2 linked regions of the Drosophila melanogaster genome follow. The gene in region 2 interacts genetically with the main gene of each other region. Each region holds a gene or a part of one and is shown on either strand. Other genes may lie near its edges. The genes, in order: Dsk and CCKLR-17D1.

The links.
Region 1: of CCKLR-17D1 (region 2) and Dsk, changing one suppresses a phenotype caused by changing the other (phenotypic suppression), as found in Drosophila melanogaster (one study listed by BioGRID).

Annotation. Positions count from the first base shown.
Region 1 is NT_033777.3:4,189,035-4,192,352, forward strand, and holds Dsk (drosulfakinin), read right to left. Parts: upstream 1,227-3,318; 5' UTR 1,200-1,226; coding exon 774-1,199; 3' UTR 658-773; downstream 1-657.
Region 2 is NC_004354.4:18,723,565-18,728,426, forward strand, and holds the start of CCKLR-17D1 (Cholecystokinin-like receptor at 17D1), read right to left. Parts: upstream 3,009-4,862; coding exon 2,992-3,008; intron 2,922-2,991; coding exon 2,173-2,921; intron 2,109-2,172; exon of another isoform or gene 2,034-2,108; coding exon of another isoform or gene 1,668-2,033; exon of another isoform or gene 1,350-1,667; intron 1-1,349. Other genes in the region: CG42302 (uncharacterized protein), read right to left, coding at 1,668-2,033.

The sequences.
Region 1 (3,318 bases), on a different chromosome or scaffold from region 2:
GCTGGCTAACAAAGGCTTTCCAGCCAAGTATTAGGCCCGAATTAACATATTAAAAAGAAAAACTAAGTTCGTTTCTAAGTCAAGTTTAATTTTGTTACTATTTTTTCATAGCACTGCTATTTCATTGAACACCAGAATTTCTGCCTATTATGTTGTTTTATTCTATATTTTCGAAACTATTGAAGAAATAAAAGTGAAACATTTGTTAAATTGTTTGAAATTAAATACCTAATGATATTATAAAAAAAAATTTCCCATTAAAACTGTAAATCATAGGAAATTTTTATCTTAAACTCTCAAGTCCAAAGCACTGCTATTTTTCTGAACACAGCTGTATATAAATGGGCCTAAGGGAAACATACATCAACGACAATAATTCTTGTTAAGTAAATCCGATGCGTCTTTAAAAGGTATTCACAATTCGAAAGTCGGAGAACCTTTCAAATGCTTTCGTCACAAATAATTAAATAAAACTTTTTATATATTGAAGGTGCAGCCCTTTTTTTATATACCGGATAAATGGAGGCTTTTTACCGCGGTGATAAATTCTGCTAGGAATCAATACACCTATATGCAAGGGACTAAAAATCCTTTTTTCAATGAATCCATCATAGCTTACTCTAAGAATTCGGCTATAATACGAAATATTAAATTTTTGAATGCGAACATTTATTACTTTTTATATACTTGTTAATATAAAATGTGTGCTCGATTAATTTCTATGTACAATATACATAATCGGTTTTCTAAATGACTAAACTGATGGCAAGTGTTTATCGGCCGAAACGCATGTGACCGTAGTCATCGAACTGATCATCACCTCCCCTTTTACCAAACCTCATATGGCCGTAATCATCAAACCGCTTAGCTTTCGTTCTTTCGTCATCATTATCCATGAGGAGATCCAGCTCAATTGGTATTATTGGGCGTGAAATTAGTGGCACTCTGCGACCGAAGCTCATTGTTTTCTGATTACGCCTGTCCCCGAATAGAGAGAATGATGGTCCAACTAAATTCGCAATGGGCTGATCGATTTCCCCACCAATTTTTGACTCCAATTCCTGTAGTCGCCGATCATCCTTAGCGTTCTGTAGACTAGTCGTCTGCGCTGGGATCGGCAGCACCACCAGGAAGCAGAAGGCTAATGCCCAGAGTGGCATAAACAGCGTGGCGAAGTGCGTACAGCTTCTAGGTCCCATGCTTTACTGTGCCCTTGGCAGACTGGTGAACATCTAAGTTGGCGCTTCCTTTTTATACGATTGCGTTTGTGGCCATCTTTCTCGCCTGTTTAATATTCCGTTACCGCGGCTGTCAAGTGTTTAGAGGTGTTGAGATAACAGAAATTGACTTTGACTTGTGATTGACTTGATTGATTAAACTAACTTTGATGCTGTCCTGACAATAATTGAATTCGACGGCATGCCTAAAAGAATTAAGTATGATGAGTAACCGTCTGTATTAGGGCGCTGGGCGAGTATACTCTAGTGGTTTTCTGAAACATTCTTCAGCATAATATCAGGGGGCTAGTAGCTGTGCCAGACAAACAATTTTAAATAAAAAGCGCATATCCATGGTTAAATTTAATATTCGGAAATACATTCTGATTCAAATTTTTATAAATTTGCCAGCAAAGAAGTGTGAGCTAGTGTGAGACTTACAGATATGTTCAGAAGATATTTCTTTTTAAATTTTAAAAGCTGTTGCGAATAGAATATACTATTGTCTTTGGTTAAACTGAGCTGTGAACCATTGTATATGGGCATGAGGTTGACAGTGCTGATCTGAACCAAATCCAAATGCGAAATTCAAAAGGGAGGTTTTTTAACGGATATGCCTATGATTCCAACTGATATTAACACGATACCCATCAGCAAAGCCCAAACAAGCATTTCTTGTTTGTAATGTGAATTTGAAAATCATGTATATTACATGGGCATTACCATTGGACATGTAGACTCTTGTGACCCCTACACACCCGCATGCTGACCAAAACTGCAATGGCTACACATTTGAAAGGCTAGTATACCCTATAAAGTATGTAAAATGCCGAAGGCCTTTTCCGACCATTTGAAGTATATATTTTTTGATCAGGATCAATAGCCGAGTCGATCTGACCCTGTCCGTCCGATTGCTCCGAAACTTTCGTCATGAAATTTAAGTAAAAGCCTATCGATTATAGTTATTTTCTTTTCTCATTACTTATTCGATGAACCCATTAATCGATAGCTTTTACCACATTTTGTCGACTTGTTACTTCGAGGTCGACAAAGTCTTCAACCGGCAGTTCTCACTTGGGAGCGGTATCGTTCGTTCAAAAAACAAAACAGTGTGACGGTGAGACCGACCATTAGATTTCAATAAGACAAACAACGCGTTTTTATGGTCGGAATACATACCTTATTTGTGCTTATATTGTTTATCCCCAATAACTTTGCGAAAACCATTCTTGTCGAAGAGCTTACAAAATGGACATTGAGAAATAAGACCTCCTATAAGTGCCGGGTAATTTATCTGAAGATTCTGCTTATGATACCCGTTGCCTACATTCTGAACGTATTCGTTAATGATATTAAGTTAAGCTTATCAATGCTTATCTACGTTCCAAGAACTGTTAGAATCTGATTTAGTAGAAACCTATGAAAAAAGAGTTAATAGAAGTTAAAAAAGTTAATAGAAAAGAGTCGTCTCTACTGATTGCACATCTGTCGCACTTCAGTTATTTGAGTAAGCGGTATCTAATAGTCGCGGCACTCTACGGAAGTACATACATATATATACACTAGTGGGCATAAGTATTTGGACAAGAAATATTTTCAATATATTTGTTTGTAACTTATTGTTTACTTAAAGCAAAATTGTTTAATAATTTTAGTAAATAGGTAGGCTATCGTAGTTAAATGTAGAGGTAACATAAACATATGGATAACTTCATTGTTGATTTAACAAAAATCACTTTCTTACAAATTAGCAATGGCATAAGTATTTGGGCAAATTATTTAAATTTTATAAATTGAAAAAAAATTATGACAAATTAATAAAAAAATATACCCTCCCTTAGCGTCACCTTTTGCAGACGTTTTGGTACAGACTGTACCAAGCTGTGGATATAATCTATTGAAATATAAGGTTTGAATTTCCAAAATCGTTTCTTCGCGACTTCTAGATAAGTTTGCACTCCTTTTTCTTTTTAAATATGACCAGAGGTTTTCTATTATGTTGAGGTCTGGACTTTGACGTGGCCAATCCAATGTGTTTACGCCAACATCTTTCAGTAACTTCGTAATCAGTTTGGCCTTATGCCAGGGAGCAATATCCTGC
Region 2 (4,862 bases):
CAGCACGTCTGAAACGGAAACGCAGGAAACAGGAAACAAGTCATGAAAATGCAAGGAAGGGTGTCAGAAGGATCGGCGAGGGGACGTAAAGGATGTGGAGCAGCTAGCGGAGCTGATGGAGCTGATGGGGGAAAGGGGCTTCGGAACGGAACACTACAAGAAAATCGCGACGTGACGCTGCATAGCAGAGTGATTTTCGCAATATTGCCACGGTTAAAAGCAATTCCAGACTGCTTAGGCTGCGACTTGAGTGCTACAACGCCAAAGGAGCAAGGAACAGGGTAACAGGAGCTGGGTGAGAAGGGTGAGTAGGCTCCCAGATCGACACTGCGTACATATGGAAATTGACCAGAATGCTGAGCAGAAGCAGAGCTCCCGGCAGGCGAGCAATTTGCATTGGAAATGGGGATCAGCCTGGATTAATCTTGCGGGAATGGAGGATGACTGGCCTGGACTGAGCTTCATCATCCGTTTGGATGCGCCTCCAAGGAGTCCTAGGAGGTGAAACAGGTTGAGGACCTCTCCTTACCGTTATGAAAATAATTAGAATGTCCGATGGCATGCACTTTGATTAAATAAGCAAATTAATGCCGCTCGGCTCCTTGAAACCGAAATGCCGATTAGCATTTGTGACAGGTGTCAGGGCCACATTTCTGCTTCATTCTGTTCCACTGCCGCCGACGGGACATGGAATCACGCCGAAGGCGAACCATATCACAGATGGCTGAACCGGGCTCAGCTGATGAATATCGCCACCCACATCACCAACCCTTATCTGAGCTGGAGACACAAATTAATGCCTGGTGAGAATGTTTACCCATCTGACTGGACTTTTCAAGGACCAAACATGAGTTTTGGGCACAGTCATTGAGTTGAAATGGTTTTAAAGAGCTTCCCCCGCATATTTACAGTGTGCGAGTGCGTGTGTGTGCGTGTGTGTGTCGTGTGCGTGGGCCTATTTAATCTTTTGAACCCTTGAGGAACCCAAAACCCGGTGCTCGCTGGTCGGGGAAACCCTGACTGTCGTTACGCAAATGCGGGCGGCCATCATAAAATACGGCCATTCTCAGGCGGATGCAGATTGGGAGACGAGATATAGTGCGTTCTTGCCAACGAAATATGATTTAGGCCATAAATAAGCGCGGAAATTGTGCGTAAAATCGATGGCAGACTCAGTTTTCCTAAGTGGAAAAGTGATGTGCACAAGCGCACAATCTAAAATATACAGTATGGTCATTTAAAACTTATCTTCTCCCCACTACACTACTTTGTATATTATACAATATTAAGCTTAGCTAAGTGATTTCAAAAGGGTGACTTTAAAGAGAATCTCAAAGCATAGTGAATGTACACTGAACGACATCTTTATTTTCTGCCAATCGTCATTTACTTAAGACTCTACTAGGATTTTGTTAAGAACCAATAGCAAGAAATCATCGATGGCCACGCCTGCAGAAAATCCACTTTCATTTCCAGCTAGACGACCCCTTCTTGCCCTTCCCAAAGGTCTCGAAGTATGAAATCATCCTCGAAAGCTTTGGGATGATGACCAATGTGGACAAGTGGCCATCACCCAAGTACACTGGGGATCTGGGGCTACGACGGAACAGCCTTCGTTTTCGACTTGGAATAAACTCCACACGTGGCTATCTGTCTAGACTTAACCATTATTTGACCTTTTCGTCATTGGAGGCCCTAGATGCGGATTCAGATTCATTTGCTGCTGCGGATTTGGGCATGGATGCGGATGCGGATGCTGGTGGTGATGCGGAGGAGGCGGTCGAACGGGACAAACGAATTTGCTGATGGCGACGCCGGCGACGGAAGTACTGGCTCGACACCACCTGAACCGAGTCCATGAATCGATCCATACAGTTGGCCAGGCAGTCGCGCTCCGTGGAGCGCAACTCCATTTCCGGCATAGCGATACATACGTCGAAGCAGCGACGTGTCATCTTCTTTATCAGCTCCTGAATGTTGGCCAACACGATCTGCTGGCGAATCCGCTCGAGGTCGTGCTGGTTCGTGGCCATTTGACAAGCGATTATGGGGCTCGGTCACGGGGATAGGGACTAATAAATGCGGAATTCACAGTTGGAAGTTTGGGATAACCTTTTAATTTGGACACGGACAAGACATAAATGAACTGGCCTACTGGCTTCCACCACTCACCCTGAGCAAACTGGATGAGCTTGCAGAGCAGCTCGCCGAATATGAAATGCCTTAGCAGAGTGCCGACCAGGGTCACCGGCATGCAGAATACGCCGAGCAGGATGTCCGAGATGGCCAGGTTGAGCAGAAAAACGTTCGTGATGGTGCGCATGCGACGATTCTGGACGAGCGTTAGCACCACCAGCAGGTTCCCGACCACGGCGCACAGAAGGATGGCCGAATAGCACGGCACCACCCAGATGGGCACATCGGCACTGACCCTCACCACGCTCCTGTTCCCCGGTGTCCTGACGGTTACAGCTGGCGCCAAGGTGCTGCTGCTGGGAGTAGTGGCTAGGTCCATGTCCAGATTAAGATCCAAATCCAGTCCGAGATCCAATTCCAGCCCGCTGTAGTTGAGAAGATCACCGGGTGTCCCTGTGATGGTGACCCCGTCACCGACAGCGGAGATCTCGTTGCTGGCATTCAGGTGGATCGCAGCCTCCTTGGCCAGCGGCAGCGCCTGGCGCAGGTAGTGGTAGAAGGCGTCAATCGTGAGGCCGAAGAAGGATGCTCGTTTGTGATCCCGGAATAGCACTAGCAATCGGGGACTTGCACTTGCAGCAGTACAACACACTTCGTCAACTTCACGCAACAAAAAATTGGGCTTAGGTCGGGATTGAGTGTCGGCACAGCCGTATGGAGTTCGGGTTCCGCGATGTGTGTCGCGCCTCGCAATCTTCGCGAAGCACTGACGGCAAGCGTCGGCGCTTTTTGTGACCACCAGCCGGCGCCAAGCGACCGCAACATGCTGCCAAAGGACATAGAGGCACAACTCACCACAGGCGCGGCAACATGTTGCCAGCTGGACTTGTTGATATATCGCACGCTGTGCTCGCTGCTTAGTAGTAGCTCTAGTTATATTTTTGATCACGTTTAAGGAACTTCATTTATTACATCCCACAAATCGGCTAAGAGAAAACCATATGAAAAAAGTCGCTAAATCACCCAATTACGACGATTTGTTGTCATCCACGACGATTCAGTGATGGTAACAAATTGGCATCGAAAGAGCGTTGTTAGAAGGACATTAATTCGGAATATATATTTTGACGACTCAATTCAATTGATTGGCAAGATGGCTACTTTGTAGAATCCCTGCATTCTCTGCTATACAAGTAGAATCAGAAGAAGACGGTTCATACAATATAATCTGAACTGAAGATTAGCAATAGGTGTACTTCATTATATCCTATTACATTACATCCCTATTTATAGTTCTTTCCCGTATAGCCAAACCCATTTAGAAACCTACGAAAGTGCCTGAGAGAAGGACAAATCGCTTTCACCGGATAGCATAGCATACATTCGGGGGCAAACGAGATGATTGAGCCCGCACGATGTTTGGCAATCGGTTGAAGTGGCTGGAGTGGCTGGAGTGGCTGGAGTGGCTGGGTGAGTAATTTGCATGTCTCCCCGAGGAACTGCGGAATCAGTGGCTCCTGCCAGAGCGGAAAAGCCAACGAAAGGTCACATTTGTCAACTTAATTAGCGGACCTCCGGTGATTCCGTGGGCCTCCAGCTGCCATCTTCCATCTTCCAGCTTACACCTTTGGCTCATTATTTAAAGACTTTGTCGCCGTTTGTTTGCCTTGCGACCCGAGTTTATAAATCACTTCGCGCCACTGGAGGAGCCATAAAGTGAAACCCGAGTGGTTTATTTGCCACTTCCACGCCTTTGGTGGCCTCAACAGGTTGTGTTGCAAGTTGCAAACTTTATTTGGGCTCCAGTTCAGGCGAGTAATCGACTTTGGTGGACCAAATTAACTGCAGACGGATTCTTTGGCCGCTCAAGCGACCGAAAACTTTCCAACGGATTCACTTTATCTGCAAGTTTCGCATCCGCGCTGTAGAGTGTTCCACCAAAAAATGTGGGTTAACGTTTGCCTAAATTGATTAATTCAATTTGACTCTTTCGGCGAACTTCTCGCGAAAGACAAACTTTGTCGGGCGCATAAATAATGCTGCAACATTAATTAAAGTGGCCAGAAGCGTTGGGCGGATCGAAGTGGCGAGTTTGGGTTTTTTGGGTGTTTCGGTTGTTTTTTTGTCTGGCGGTCGGTCGGTCCGTTGGCACTTTAGCAATCCAGCCTTCATTTTATTTATTTACTTTGGGCTTTAATTAATTTTAATTATTGTATTTGCATTCGCAACGGCTCAGTTGTTGTTTTAAAACTTTATGGAGTAGTGATTGCCGGCCGTTAATGCAATCAGGCAGCCGAAAATTACAGTTGCCATCGCTAATGGCCAGATACGAACACAGATACAGATACAGATACAGATATAGTATGGGTAATCCCAGTGATTGCCATAAGAACAGAGCAACAGAAGCAACAGATACACTGCGAATGCATAATGAGCATGTCGGGGAATGCCCCTGAATAATGAATTAATCGTCCATTTCAGCTGCTAGTTCCCGCGATCCAAAGCCATTTATTACCAAAGACATTTCACCAACCACCCACCCACTTGAAGGACACTACGCCACATTGTCCTGCCTTCAATTCCTTTCTGATAGTCCGAGGTCAGAACTGTAATAAACAAGCTACCCCGGAGTTTGCCAATTGTAAATTGATTCTACGCTGACACAAAGTTCTGCTCATGAGTCATGTCCAACCTGAATTTTCTGTCCGATTGACAATGCATCTACA